Diceros bicornis minor: one gene and its partner. The protein of the gene in region 2 purifies or fractionates together with the protein of the main gene of each other region. This does not show direct contact. Links are inferred from orthologs where the notes say so. Each region holds a gene or a part of one and is shown on either strand. Other genes may lie near its edges.

What was found. The genes of interacting proteins can lie anywhere in the genome.
Region 1: the proteins of RFC5 (region 2) and ATAD5 purify together in Homo sapiens (affinity purification with mass spectrometry; 4 studies listed by BioGRID and IntAct, counting the BioPlex papers as one, with this or other methods). This does not show direct contact. The link is inferred for Diceros bicornis minor from reciprocal best matches to the Homo sapiens genes RFC5 and ATAD5.

The regions. Positions count from the first base shown.
Region 1 is NC_080757.1:21,094,902-21,102,722, reverse strand, and holds the start of ATAD5 (ATPase family AAA domain-containing protein 5), read right to left. Parts: upstream 3,101-7,821; 5' UTR 2,738-3,100; coding exon 2,672-2,737; intron 1-2,671. UniProt on the Homo sapiens protein: Has an important role in DNA replication and in maintaining genome integrity during replication stress.
Region 2 is NC_080774.1:15,032,360-15,039,520, reverse strand, and holds the start of RFC5 (replication factor C subunit 5), read right to left. Parts: upstream 3,008-7,161; 5' UTR 2,918-3,007; coding exon 2,847-2,917; intron 1,392-2,846; coding exon 1,327-1,391; intron 786-1,326; coding exon 649-785; intron 1-648. UniProt on the Homo sapiens protein: Subunit of the replication factor C (RFC) complex which acts during elongation of primed DNA templates by DNA polymerases delta and epsilon, and is necessary for ATP-dependent loading of proliferating cell nuclear antigen (PCNA) onto primed DNA.

The sequences.
Region 1 (7,821 bases), on a different chromosome or scaffold from region 2:
TCCATTATTTATTATCCTCACAATGTCAAGATGACTATAATGCTAAAAAGTTACATTTTTGTTGGGTCATAAATTAGTAACTTACATATGTCAACTTAAAAAGCAAATTTGCCTGTTATTTTATCCTCAGAACAAGTTTATTCAGGAATAGCCAAAACAATTGCAACTGGGGATGTGCAGGCTACGGCAAACCATAGGCAAATCCAGAAAACAAAGGAAGGGAGTTGCCTTTATAGAGAAAAAGAGGGAGTAGGGACGGGCTGTTCTAAATGAAAGTCAATTGGGGGAAAGAAACAGTTCAGGGAGCAATTGGCTTCTCACTGGCTGAGACGCCGTGTTTCTCACTGGCTGAGGCTGTTGCCCAGTGGGGAGAGAAATTTTCCCGCAATAGTAAAGTAGTTTTACATCCTGTCAAAGATGCAAGCCAGGGTCTTTTTCTGGTTGGTGTAATTGACAATATATAATAGGGCATGAGAGCTCCCCCTTCAGGCCTTCCAACTCCAATTTGGTGGTTTCTCTTATTCATTCCCACATATAACAGAAAAAGCTTATTAGTTACAAAAAGCTCTATCAGTGTTTTCTTTAATTTTAACTTCCCTCAGTTCATTTGTTAGAATAAACTTGCCAGAATAACAAGGAAATTTTTCAAAAGATAAGTAATGAGGGGCCTGCTCAGTGGCATAGCACTTAAGTTTGTGAGCTCCGCTTTGGAGGCCCAGGGTTCCCAGGTTCGGATGCTGGGTGCAGACCGATGCACTGCTTGTGAAGCCATGCTGTGGCGGCATCCTATATAAAGCAGAAGAAGATGGGCATGGATGTTAGCCCAGGGCCAATCTTCCTCAGCAAAAAGAGGAGGATTGGCAAGGGATATTAGCTCAGGGCTAATCTTCCTCACACACACACACAAAAAAAAGATAAGTAATGAATGGGAGAATTATACTTCCAGAAAATGAAAACATATTATAAAGCTATCATGATTAAAAGCATAGTACTGATGCATGAATATGGAGACAATTTAATGGAATGGATTAGAAAACCAGAAAAAGACATAAGTATATATTTAAGAACTAGGTGTATGATAACAGTACCATTCAAGTTAGTGGGCAAAGAAGTAGTTAATAAATGGTATTGGGGCACATTTCTAACCATTTGGATAAATATAAGGCAAAATAAATTACAGACAGATTAAAATTTTATATGTTAAGATGAAATGGTAAAGGTATTACAAGAAAATGCTAATGAGTTAGCGTTATTATTATTACCCTGAGATGGTGTCAGAGGCACTATACCATAGGCTCTGGAGTCAGGCAGATCTAAGTTCAAGTGATAGCTCTGACATCTACCAGTGTAGGACCTTAAGTAAATTACTTTTTTTTTTTTAATAATTTTATTTATTTATTTTTCCCCCAAAGCCCCAGTAGATAGTTGTATGTCATAGCTGCACATTCTTCTAGTTGCTGTATGTGGGACGCGGCCTCAGCATGGCCGGAGAAGCGGTGTGTCGGTGCGCGCCCGGGATCCGAACCCGGGCCGCCAGCAGCGGAGCGCGCGCACTTAACCGCTAAGCCACGGGGCCGGCCCAGTAAGTTACTTTTAACTTTATAATTTACTTTTCCTAACTTAATTTACTTTTAATTAATTTTTAAACTTCCTCTCTCATCTGTAGAATATAGATAATAATACCTCATCACAGAGTTGATATTAAGTAAAATAATGTGTATAAGGCCTTTATCCTTACAAGAGTAAACAGTATTATTACTGTGAAATAGGTTCTCTAAGCAAGGCACCAAAAGCAGAAACTGTAACGAAAAGATTGATAAAACTGACAAAAATCAAGAACTGTGTAATTCAAGTACCAAAAGTCCTTCTTCACACCTGACACAAGCTGAGCAACTGCCTTGATTTAGGAAGCAAGTATCAACATAACAACTATTAGCAAGAAGACAAAAGTTACTCAATTCTAAAAAATAAGAATGAGCCCAGTTAAATAAGTGGACATACATCTTGGTTCGCTTCAAGGACACCAGTATGCATACTTCAGTTAGAATCCTAGTTTGAGATGAAAAGGTATAAAAATATAGCAATCGTCTACTTTAAGATGCCACTTCACTACTTCATGGCATTAGAATCCCTTTATAAATACTGCTTAGTGCATTTCACTGAAACTTGATGAACACAGGCAAATAACAGCAGACTCCTAACTGCAGTATCTTAAGCTCTGGAGCCGTGAGAAAATGATTTTTCAATTAAGTACCTTGGTTGATTCCTGAAATGACAATCTAAACGGTATTCCTAGAATAGGTAGATGGATGGACTAGTGGAACTTAAAGATTCTTTTCAACGCTAAAGTTCTATGATCCCTTATCATGAACCCAGACTTGACCCTGGGATCCTCCATGACATTCCGCAAGTACAAAACATCAAGTTCCACCAACATTTCAGGGTCTGGGCACTGGTCGAGATATCTTAAATCCTGATTTACCTGGCCCCGCAAACATCTCACAATCCCAATGTTTGTCAGGACCTATCACTTTCAGAAAAGACACTCCAGCAACTGGTCCACACAATGTCACAACTGTGGGGCCTCATCATGTCCCTCCTTTCCCCTCATAGATCCAAAGTCGGGATCACCTTTCTCCCACCCCCAACAGACGGAGATACTCAAGCTCACCTCAATCTCGTAGTCCTTCACCGGAGGGGGAGCAGCTGCCGCCGCCATGGCCAAGACCCCCACCATAATCCCTGCTTCCCGGAATCCCGGCTCCTAGGACCTTGCGCGGCCCGGGCCGGCCTGCCTGGAGGCCATGGAGGCGGCCGGCTCCTGCAAAGGCGAGGAGCTGGGCCGCGGGGTCGGTCTCGGACTCCCCCTCGGCCACCCGCCCGGAGCGGTGGCGGAGGCTGGGCCCAGTTCAGCCGAGTCGAACGCGGGAAGAGGCGGTGAGAAAGCGCGGGCAGCGAGGACCCTGGGGCGCGGCCGGTGAGCGCGGGTGTCCCCGAGGCGGGCGCTCCAGGCTGAGCGCTCGGGACTGGGGCTCCCGTGGGGAAAGCAGGCCGAACGTAGATCGGACCCACCGGCTTCGGAAGGAGTTCTTGTCAATTGGGTTTTCGCGCCGTCCTGAGCGCAGGGGGCGGAGCTCAGGGTTGCTTCCGGAGGCTCTCCGGACGGCAAGCCGAGAGGGCCATAATAGTTCTTTGGCGAACCTACAGGAGGCGGGATTGCTTCACCGTGGAATTTAAAACTAGCGGGGGTTTTGGAGATTTGGACTTTTCACGCCCAGTTTCACGGATGAGGACGTGATTTGACGAAAGTCACTTGGTGGCAGAATTAAAGCCCTAGACTTTTGACGCACCAGGCTAGCTCCTATTTAAAAGTGGAAATTTGAAAAATACAGAAAAGGAAATAATGTTTACATTCCTCCCACATGGAATAAATGTTATTTTGACAAGCGTCCTGCCTCGAGATATGCCCATTCGTGGTCCGAGATTTCGACTTTTTACCCTTAACTGAGCTAAGGGGCATTTCTTCCCATGGATTTCGTCCTCGCGAGCAGATAGGAGCGCGAGGTCCTTGGCTCAGCTGGTTGGTGTGGGTTGAGTCGTCGCAGGATACCAATAGTTTGCTGGTTTGTAGTAATAATCTCATACGTCATTTGCATGGTTTTCATGAATTTAACTTTTACTATTTTTTTACGTTAAAGTTGCAATTACATAAATATAAAGTATGTTTATTTTGTTTGAGTGCATAGTTTTAACTGCATGGTATGCAAGAGCTGAAACAAGGCAGGTAAAAGAACATATCAAATAATAACAGGAAGCCACCGTGTTAGGTCGGGTTACGCAAACTAATTTTAACTATTGATGTCATTGTGTCCATCTTTTTGGTATTTGCTATTGTCTTGACAACATAAAGGGTACAAATTTCTCCAGTGAAATTAGTGGTAATTACTTTTTCTTTGAAAATTGTTGGCCCTTGGATAGGTTTTCCGGGAAGGGAGACTGCACTACCTTCAGTCTTCTAAGTATACACTCTTTCTTTCTTTCTCTTTCCTGCGGAAGATTGCCCTGAGCTAACATCTGTTGGCAATCTTCCTCTTTTTTTGCTTGAGAAAGATTAGCCCTGAGCTAACATCTGTGCCAGTCTTCCTCCACTTTATATGTGGCTCGCTGCCACAAGCATGGCTGACAGAGTGGTGTAGGTCTGCTCCTGGGATCCGAACTTGTGAACCCCGGGCCAGTGGAGCACGAACTTAACCACTAGGCCAGGGGGCCGGACCCTGGTTTGGGTTTTTTATAACTAAATATGGGAGACATTCTTGATGGCTGATAAATAGTATTTCATTTATTTGTAGAAAATGTAGGATGCTTTGCATTGACTCTCTGGAAGTTCCTGGAAGGCAAGGTTGATGTTGCTGAGCTACCAAGGTTGGTTCTGGATGTATGGGTACTTCCTCAGAAATATACTTTAAAAGCTCCTTCCCTAGATATGTTACCTTACTCCAAGCATAATTCCAGGTCACATAACTGTCACCTCCTAGAAGATCATTGAGCCAGGTGAGTGGATTTTGATAAATCTGGCCATTTTCTACCATAATTTTACCACTCAATAGAACTCTGGCTTTGTGGGTGGTTTCAGTTGTCCCAGCTCACTGCGGTCAGAGAGTTTCTGGGTCATGGTGCAGGGAGTGGGAATCCAGGCAAAGCCTGTGGACTCCCTGAGTTGAGGAGACAGAGCAGAGTCCAGGGAGACAAAGCAGCTAGAGTTTGCAGGACAGAGTACTGAAGAAGAGAGAAATACACACAGAGAGAATGCTCAGACTCATTTTTCTCAGACTCATTAGTGGGCTCATCTATAGAACAATCAGGAGATGAGCTGGCATTTTCGTTGAGGAACTTGCCAATGTTAATAGGTGAGGTCTTTTATCTGGGACCATTCAGCTTCTCCTCCAATCTCTTTGGGGGCAGGGGTGGTTACATCTCATGAAGTTGGGTGGAAGCAATGGGGAGAGGTCACCTAAATGTATGGAATAGGGCACTGGACCTGGAGTACATAACTCTAATTTTAACTGTCTCCTTTTTTTCATTCCCATACTTCACTGCCATGTGCTATGCTATTCATCCATCCATCCATCCATCCATCCATTTGTTCCATAAATACTATTGATTGCCTGATATGTGCCAGCTAGAACAAAGCAGCTGTAAAAAAAACTGACAAAATCCCTATCCTCTTAGAGTTTATATTCATTTTAGAAGAGACATATAATAAAAATGATAAGTGAAATAAATGGCAAGAGGTATAAATGCTGAGGAGAAAATAATGCAGGAAGTAGGATAAGGAAAGAAATGTCAGGACAGGGGTTGCAAATTTTTTTTAAGTGACTAAAATTTTAAAAGGATGTATCTGAGGCCTGCTAGCCTGAGTTTCTCAGAAGTCTTCAGGGAGAGTTGGCCCAATTCTGAATGGTTCCCCCTCTGCAGTTTAGGATGTAACTTCCATCAGTTGGCTAGAGCAATGACTACTCCTCCATCCACTTTCCATCTTCCAAAAATTTGTGGAACTCTGTAGTGTTCTTTTATGTTCTCTACTCTTCTACTTGGCCTTAATCCAGTTTTAAATTAATTGTTTAATTAATCCAGTTTTAAATAAATTAATTGTTATTTTGAAGGGGTTTTGGAAGGGAAAAGAGAAAAGCACATGTGGCCAACCCAAGAAGACGCTTAAGACTCAGATCAGGGTTCACCTTCTCCAAGAAACTGTCCCTGATACCTTTTTCCTTCCACTTTGCCTTAGGCTGGATTAGGTTGCAGGTTTCTGTGCTTCTACTCATTGCACTCACTGCATTATATTATAAATTCCTGCTTATGTGTGTGTGTGTTTCCCCCATTGGACTATGAAGGCAAGTCCTAGGTCTCATTCCTGTTTTGATTCCCAGCACCTAGCACAAAGCCAGATACATACTTGTAGTCTTTAAACTTTTTGTAAATTAATGTGTGCTGTTACATGGCCATATTATTCAGCCTTTACGCCAGCCCTGTGGAAGACATTTACATTATTGTCAACTTACAGAAGTAGAAACTGTAGCTCAGAGATATTTCCAAAGTTAGTGTTTAACCAAGTCTCCAACTTCAACTTCTGTGCTTTTTTTCAATGACACACTGTAGTCAGTACATGGAGAAAAGGTGGACTATGTCATTTTCTCTCCAATATTATATCCCCTTCTCTTGATAACCATCACTGTTGTTATTCTGGTATCTACACTTCCCCTACTTGGCCCACATATTGGGGAAAGCTAATTCCACCCCTGGCTCTGGATCCACCTAAACTAATCTGCATAATTCCACCTCCTGGCCACAGTCAGTTATTGGTTCAAAGGTGGGCACGTGACCTAGTTTGGGCCAAGAAGACAAGTGAAGAGATATTCTGGGTGCCTCTGGGAGATAAGCATGTTCGCACTACTGATATACGTCCAGGAAGGAGTTCTACTGGTTCCAGAAGGTGTATAAAATTAAACAGCCTTAAAATAAGGTAATGGTGGTAGAGAAGAGAGTTAGGAAGTCTGACCTTTGAATCAAACTAACCCTAAAGTTGGTATTAGCCAATGAATCCCCTTTATAGTTTAAGATAGTTTGAGTTGGGTTTTCTGTAACTTGAACTGAAGGTATCATAAAGGATACAAGAGGAAAGGAAGGCAAAGGAAAGGAAGGAAAACTAGGGAGACTCAAGATATAATTGATCTATATAAAAGATGTAAATATGTACTAAAGATATTTAGGAACATTCTGAATAATTCAAGAGGCCATTGAGATAAACTCAGGAAAGACTGACAAAACAAACTGTATGACCATATGTATATTCTCAGCCTTGCCCCTCAATCCCCCAACCTACCAACGAAGGGGAATTTTGCCCTCACCTCCTCATCTGCAAGTTGTCTTCAACCTGGCTCCCTGGCTTCTGTCATACAGAATTGAGAGAAAGGACTGAAGAGGCAGGTGGGAAGGGGAAAGCTGGGTATCGGGTTTGCATTGAGTAGGGAGGAAGGGATTGAGGGAGAAACTCCAGAGCACCAGTGGGGAATAAGAGAATGGGTATGGAGAAGAGGATATTAAGAAGAGTTTCTGTGACTTATGGAGACTGTCAGGAGATACAACAACTCAGTGCAATATATGATTCTGGACTGGATCCATTTGCCATAGCAGGCATCATTGTGACAAGTGATTAAACTTGAATGGAGATCTGAGGATTAGATGGTAATAAAGTATCAATGTTAAATTCCTGGTTTTGATGTTTTGATGGTTGCTTTGTTAGTTTGCAGGAGAATGTACCTGTAGGATGTTAGCAACTTACTCTCAAATGGAAAAATAATTTTTTGCACTGTATCTGCAACTTCTCTGTAAGTTTGAGATTTCTGTAAATTTGAGTTTTCAAAATTAAAAAAATATATGGCATTAATAAAAATTTTTAAGAGGCACAAGTCAAGGTTAGTGTTATCTCTCTTTTTTTTTTTTTTTGTGAGGAAGATCACGCCTGAGCTAACATCTGTGCTAATCCTCCTCTTTTTTGCTGAGGAAGACCAGCTCTGAGCTAACATCTATTGCCAATCCGCCTCCTTTTTTTTTTTCCCCCCAAAGCCCCGGTAGATAGTTGTATGTCATAGTTGCACATCCTTCTAGTTGCTGTATGTGGGATGCGGCCTCAGCATGGCCAGAAAAGTGGTGCGTTGGTGCGCGCCCGGGATCCAAACCGGGGCTGCCAGTAGCGGAGCGCGCGCACTTAACCGCTAAGCCACTGGGCTGGCCCTTAGTATTATCTCTTAATTATTTTTG
Region 2 (7,161 bases):
GCCGGCCCAGGAAGAGATATTTTAAAAGGTGTTGGTGGGGTGTGGGGAAACCACAAGGGCTATGTGATACCTCAGGGACTACTGGGGCCCATTACCACCCCCAGGTCTTATGGGGTCAGGGGCAGGACTGATATTGGCACCTGGGGAGGGCTGTGTGATGCGCCCTGCAGGTGGGGATGCCGCCAGCCTGTAGTGACCCCCAGGGCAGGACCCGGCATTAGTCTCCTTCCCCTGACCCCTGCCAAGGCCTCTACTGGCCAAACCCAACCAGGAGCCAGCGGGCAAGGGAGCTTGTAGTCAACACAGCTCAGCTGCCCGGGGCAAGGACAGGGCGGAGAGACGTGGAGAAGCTACCGGGAGGCGCACATGGGAAACAGCCAGCAACTGACAGACCACCAAGTGTTTGGGTAAAAGGTGGCAACAGCAAAAAAAAGAAAAATAAAAAACAAAGCCTAGCCCTACAACTGCCCTGTCGCTAATGCCAATCCAGACAATTATAGAAAAAAGTGAACTGAAATATCTTATGTTATGTCTGCTTCTTTCCCAACTGCCAGTAGGGCAAATGACTTTTAAAGTAAAAGGAAACTAGCAGAACTAAAAGTAAGAGGCTGGCGTCCTTGATAGACTAAGAATAATCTTGTTATTTACCTCTAAGACCATGGAGCCGAATTCTTTCTCTTTGTACAGCTGTTTAGCACAGGCTAGGATGGTGGACGTCTTTCCTGTCCCTGGAGGACCATAGAGAAGCAGGTGCGGCAGCCGATCTTCACTGATAAATTTGTGAACTGAGGATTGGGAAGAAAAAGAAACACCGTCAGTCTCTGCGAGTTGCCTCATTCACTGTGGGCCCTACGAGTTGGGCTGAATGCACTTCAGCCCTATGTTCAAACCAGAGGCAGGTGCAGGAATGAAAAATGGGAAGCACTCAATTCTTTTCTTTTGAGGAAGATTGGCCCTGCTCTAACATCTGTTGCCAACTTTCCTCTTTTTCTTTTTTCTCCCCAAAGCCCCAGTACATAGTTGTATATCACAGTTGTCGAGTTGTAGCTCTCTCTATGTGGGACGCTGCCTCAGCATGGCTTGATGAGCAGTGAGTAGGTCCGCGCCCAGGATCCGAACCAGCAATGCCAGCCGCCAAGGGGAATGTGACACACGAACTTAACCGCTGCGCCACAGGCCAGCCCCTTAAGGACTCAAGTTTTAAAGCCACATTCCATAAAGCTCAATCAGATTCTTCACAGTTATTACTCAGTAGAGACAACATCACCAGGAAATGTATACAGGTCCTTCGGCTAGAATAACAGCAGCTGTCACCTGGATACTTACTGGTACTCAAAATGTCCTGATGAGAAATAAGATCATTCAGTGTCTGCGGCCGGTATTTCTCAACCCTAAAATACAATTTAGCAAGGATTACAACATACATAAATTAAAGAACATTTTGGTATGTGCAAAAGAATCCTTTCATATCCTCACTAAAAGAGGAAGAGGAATAAAACCCTTTAGGTTTGAATTTAAACCAGTGGTTCTCAACCAGGGGTGATTTTATCCTCCAGGGAACATTTGGCAATATCTAGAGACATTTTCCATTGTCACAACTGGGTGGATGCTCCTGGCATCTAGTGGATAGGCCCCAGGGACGTTGCTAAACATCCTACAATGCACAGGACAGCCCCGATGCCCTCCCCCCGACAAAGTATCTGGCCCAAAATGTCAGTAATTTCTAATTTCACCTTTCCAGCTGTCTGCCTATAATCTCAACCTGGATGGGCAACTATTATTTCAAAGTGAATTCAAAATTGAACTTGTACCCAAATATACATCAACAGATGAATGAATAAATAAATGGTAGTATATCCATATGATGGACAGTGAAAACATTATGCTGAGTCAAAGAAGCCAGTTAGTTACAAAAGGCCATATATTATATGATTCAATTTATAGGAAACGTCCAGAATAGGCAAATCCATAGAGACAGAAAGCAGATTAGTGGTTGCCAGGAGGCGCTAAGGGAGGGAGGAATGGGGAGTGACTGTCAATGGGTATGGGGTTTCCATTTGGGATGATGAAAATTTTTGAAATTGAGATATTGGGATGGTTGCACAACTTTATGCAATTGAATTGTACACTTTAAAATGGTTACAACTGTAAATTGTATGTTATGTGTTTTAACCACGATAAAAACAAACTGAACTCGTTATTAGACAAGAACAACTTGGAGTTTTCCGACAGCAAGCCAAATCCCATCCAAGTCTTTAAAGCATCACTAGGATAGCTATGGAAGTAGGATGGTTAAGAGTGCAAGCTCTGAATCCAGACCTCCTGGGTTCAAACCCAAGCCTATTTTCTAGCTCTGGACCTCAGCCAAGGCATTTAATCTTTAAGACACAGTTTCCTCAAGTGTAAAACTGGAATAATGACAGTATCTACCTCCCATGGTCTTTGTAAAGATCAAACATCTAATAGGGTGCCTGCTAATCTAATAGAAAGCCGTTTAAATAAGTTAACTAGGGAGCGTTATTATTATTATCATCATTATTTTACTTAAGATTTTGGCAAGAGGGAATGACGTTTTGGCACAGAGGCCAATGCAATGTCAAAAGACGCGGGATCGACCCCTTGTGCAGATGCGTGCGAAAGCCGCTTTCCTCTTCGGGCAAAGGAATCGGTGGGTGGGGAACCCGGCAAAAGTCCTAAATAGAACGGAGCGGGGTGGGGTGTCGAGATGAACCTCTGTGGCTCCGCCCCGGCCGCAGGTCCGGGGGCAGCGGGCCCGGCCACTTGCCCAGCTGGGCCACCGCCTCCCCGCGCGGCCCAGCCCCTTTCCCGGCAGCCGGGCCTCCTACCAGGGCAGGTTCCTGATCTTGGCCGCCGCGGGCTGCTGCTGCTGCTGCTGCTTGTGTACGGAGGTCTCCATGGCGGGGAGACGAGGGTGACCAGGTCCGCTGGGGTCGTCGCGACCCCCAAGGGACCTGCTCAGCGACCAGCGCGATCCAGCGCAGGGACCCTAACAGAGTTCGCGCGCAAACGTAACTCTCGCGAGAGTTAGCCGCCTGCTTCCGACTTCCTCCCTTGGTCCCGCCCCCTTTCCGTTGCTAAGGCGCAGGTTGCCAGGTTACCGGGAGGCGCCGGCCGCCACCCTCCCTCCGGCTCCGCCCTTCTAGCCGGTGCTGCCCTCTCTGCCGCGCCAAGGGGCTTCCCGAGCCCAGGGAGAGGGGGCGAGGCGAGGCCACCCCCTGCAGCCGCCAGTCATCACAAATTAAAGTCTCACGGCCGAAGCCCAGTCCAGCCATCACCAAAGTTCAAACACCGTTCAAAGGAACAGAAAGCTGCCAGCGCTAAAGAATCCTTAGGAAAAAACAACCCCAAATGACACGGCCAATACTTGAAGATGGATGCCCGTTTGAAGAAAAGGCTCACAATACCTTTTGGCCCCCAACCTGGTAGTAATTCGAATTCAAAAACAACTCCAAACAAACGCAACTCCAATCCGTCTCCCAAATCCGCGTCCCTCACCCAACAAAATGTAGAGAACCATCCTCCAGAAACAACTCCAGAGTGAAAACAAAAAATAAACTTCCAGTTAGGTTAATACGGTAACCGGAAAGCGCTAGTTAATAAGCACAGAGGACGCGTCCCTCGGATCTGAAGATACTGAGGAGCATCGGTCTCAAAATCCTAGTGTTTTTCTGAGGTGAGGGGATTATAGACCACTTTATTTTCTCCTATTTGGCTGATCTGTGTTTCCCGGCAATGAGTGTGTGTTACATCCATAATAAAGTTTTTGTTTTTGTTTTTTAACATGTTGGGAAAGACAACAATACTGGGAGGAGATGAGGCTGCCTTGGGGTCAGAAGTGTTCTGATTCAGAAGTCGCAGCTCCTTGCGTCTTATTATTATCACTGTCACCTGCTTTAGGAACAGAGTAGAGGGACACTGGGGAAATACATGAGGGCAGTTATGGCTTCACCCTAGCCCCTGCCTGGGGACCGAGAAGAAGGAGGTGAGATGTGGCTTGTGGTATGACAGTGCCCTATTCTCTGCTTCCTCCCAGGCCAACTCCGACACTCGTTTTTCAGATCCTTAGCATGCCTCTTCCCCCCCCCCCCCCCAGCCTTGGGCGGGTTACTTCTCTCCTCATCCAATAACATCTGCTCCAAGATGGTTGTGAGGATGAAATGAAATAACATACGTAAAGCTTCCAATGCACTGCCACCTCACTCTCTCCTTCCCTTCGAACATACTCTCCACCATCCTGTTCTTGTTCCAAATGTTCCCTCCCAAACAAAATCTAAAGAATTGGCTGGTGTGACTATGCCTGTGAGGGTTAATTTTATGTGTCAACTTGACCGGGCTAAGGGATGCCCAGAGAGATGGTAAAATATTATTTTTGGAGGTGTGTCCCTAAGGGTCTTTCTGGAAGAGATTGGCATTTGAATTGGTAGACCGAGCAAAGGAGATCCCCCTCATCAATGCCGGTGGGCACCATCCAATCCATTGAGGTCCTGAATAGAACAAAAAGGCAGAGGAAGGGTGAATTTGCTCCCTTTTGGAGCTGAGACATCCATCTTCTCCTGCCTTTGAACATCGAACATCGGCACTCTTGATTTCCAGTCATCTGGATTCAGACTGAATTATACCACCAGCTTTCCTGGGTCTTCAGCTTGAAGATGGCAGATCATGGGACTGCTCAGCCTCCATAATTCCGTGAGCCAATTCCTATGATATATACACCTTATATAAATATCTATACAAATATGAATATATAAAATATATTAAAAATATTAAATATATATTTATTATATAAATATATTATTAATATAATATATATTTATTGTATAATACATAATATAAAATATATTTTAAAATCTACATAAATATAAGTATAAATATAAATTTTGTGTATCTATATATTCTATTGGTTCTGTTTCTCTGGAGAACCCTGACTAAAAATGCCATTACCTGGGCTTTATTCAACTACCCTGGTAAGAGCCATCCTGCTAAGGGGCCTTTGCATTAGAAACATGATGTTGCCACCTCCTTGAGCTAGAAGATATGAACAGACTGGACCAAGTTCTCATAAAACTCTGTGTGCACCTGCTGTTCAGTTTGCGGGCAATGCAGAATTCTTCTGTGGGACATTATATTATATATTTACAAGTTCGTCTATTGTGTGCCTCCCCCACGGACTGTAACCTCATTGAGAGGTGAGGCTTTCACTTATTCACCACTGGACTCCTGGTGTCTGGAATACTGCCTGGCTCAAAGGAAGCACTCAATAAGTCTTCCATGAATGAGTGAATGATAATAGCTACTATTCATTAGGCAGCTACTATGGGCCAGACACTGTTGTAAGTCCTTTACATTTATTATACTCACTCAATTGTTGCGATAGTTCCAAGCTATATCACTGGCCCCATTTCATAGATATATTAGGTAACTTGCCCACATTCTGACTTGGTGTAAGGGACAGAACTGGATCTTATCAAGACAGTGTGATTCTATAGCCCAAGCTCTTAGCCCAGTGCTAGTGTGGTCCCTGCACCAGCAGCAGCAGCCCCTGGGAACTTGTTAGAAATGTTAATTATTCTTCTCCCCACCCCAAACCCATTGAATCTGAAACTCTGGGGGTGGGCCCAGTCATCTGTGTTGTAACAAGCCCTCCAGGGGATTCTGATGCGCTCAAGTTTGAGAACCACTGTCCTACCCTCTACTGCTTCTCAATCCGTGAGCTCCCTATGACTTCACTTTCTAAGAAAAAGAAAGGATACTCACATGCATTTTTCTGGAAAAACAAAGGTGTCCTATTAAATGTCATTTGTATGCGTGTGGTTTTGTTTGTTTCTGTTTTTGCTATTAATTGAAGGTATAGTCCTTTGGGCAAGTTACTTAATATCTCTTTGGACCTCAGTATTGGCACTTCTAAAATGGGCAGGGGCACGGGGCTTGACTAGAGAGAGGGATGGCATTAAAAGCACCTGAGGATTTTAAACAAGTCCAATGCCAGAAGTCCAGCCAGACAAATTAAATTTGGCCTGTGGGGTGGGACCGGGCACTGGCATTTTAAAAAGCTTCCCAGGTGATTCTAACATTCAGCGAAAGTTTAACTACTGTCCTGGACGAAGCCAATCACAGCAACCCTAGTCCCCTGATTGGCTTAAAGGGTGAGCATGTGACCCAGTTCTGCCCAATGAGATGTGAGGGGTAATGGTGGGGGGGAGGCGCCTCTGGGACGCTTTTCTCGTTACTTTGCAGAGCCTTGCGCTAGATGGTCCTTAGCTTCTCTCCCAGTGCCAAAGTTCTGTTACTTTAAAGAGAAAGCGAGAGATAAAGCCTGGAGTTACAGGCTCATATGTCTATAAATAGTCTGAAAGTTAATATATAAAGGAAGAGGGTTCGGTGGAAATTATGCCCTGCCTCGAGGGGGCGGAGTTTGTAGATGGAAGATTTAAGCAGAAAAGGAATGTAGCGACGAAATATTGGATAGCTCATAATTAGTAGGAAGGCTGGAGAACCTGGTTTGGAAAATGGGACAAAGACAGGCCATGGAACTGAAACCATGGTCAGAATTACTCCATGGAACCATCCAGTAAGGAAACTGCTGCTGCCGACCTTTCCGTGCTACTACTCCTAGAAACCGAGTGTTGGTTTCACCGTTTCTACTGTGAGAAGGAATTTGCCAGTTCTCTCCTGTACTGGATTCTTCCTAAAACTAGTGCTCCATTAAGAGCATGCCTAATTGGCCAGGCCTGGGTCACCTGCTAGCGCGTACCAGTCTACAGCTTGAATGGTGGGAAATGACGTCTTCCTCCCACCAGGACTTGTGACCTGGGACATCCCTAAACTTAGGATGGGGGCTCAGATGCTGACAGCCGAAAGGATCACACATGTCCACTACAAGAGTGTTCAATCAGAAGGGACAGTAGCCAAATGTTGCCAGATCTTCTGATTTTTCAAGAGAAACCAGAAATTTGGATTTTTATGTGCAATTCCTGTATGTTAAACAATGGCAACTAATTTAAAAAACTCCTGGCCAAGTGATCACGGTAGGATCACTTTATGACTTGATTTCTCAAGGACAGATGATCAGGCAAAAGATGTAATAATTCCTTGTTATCCTCATCTTCTGCCTGGATTTTAGCCCTTCTGGAGGATTGAGGA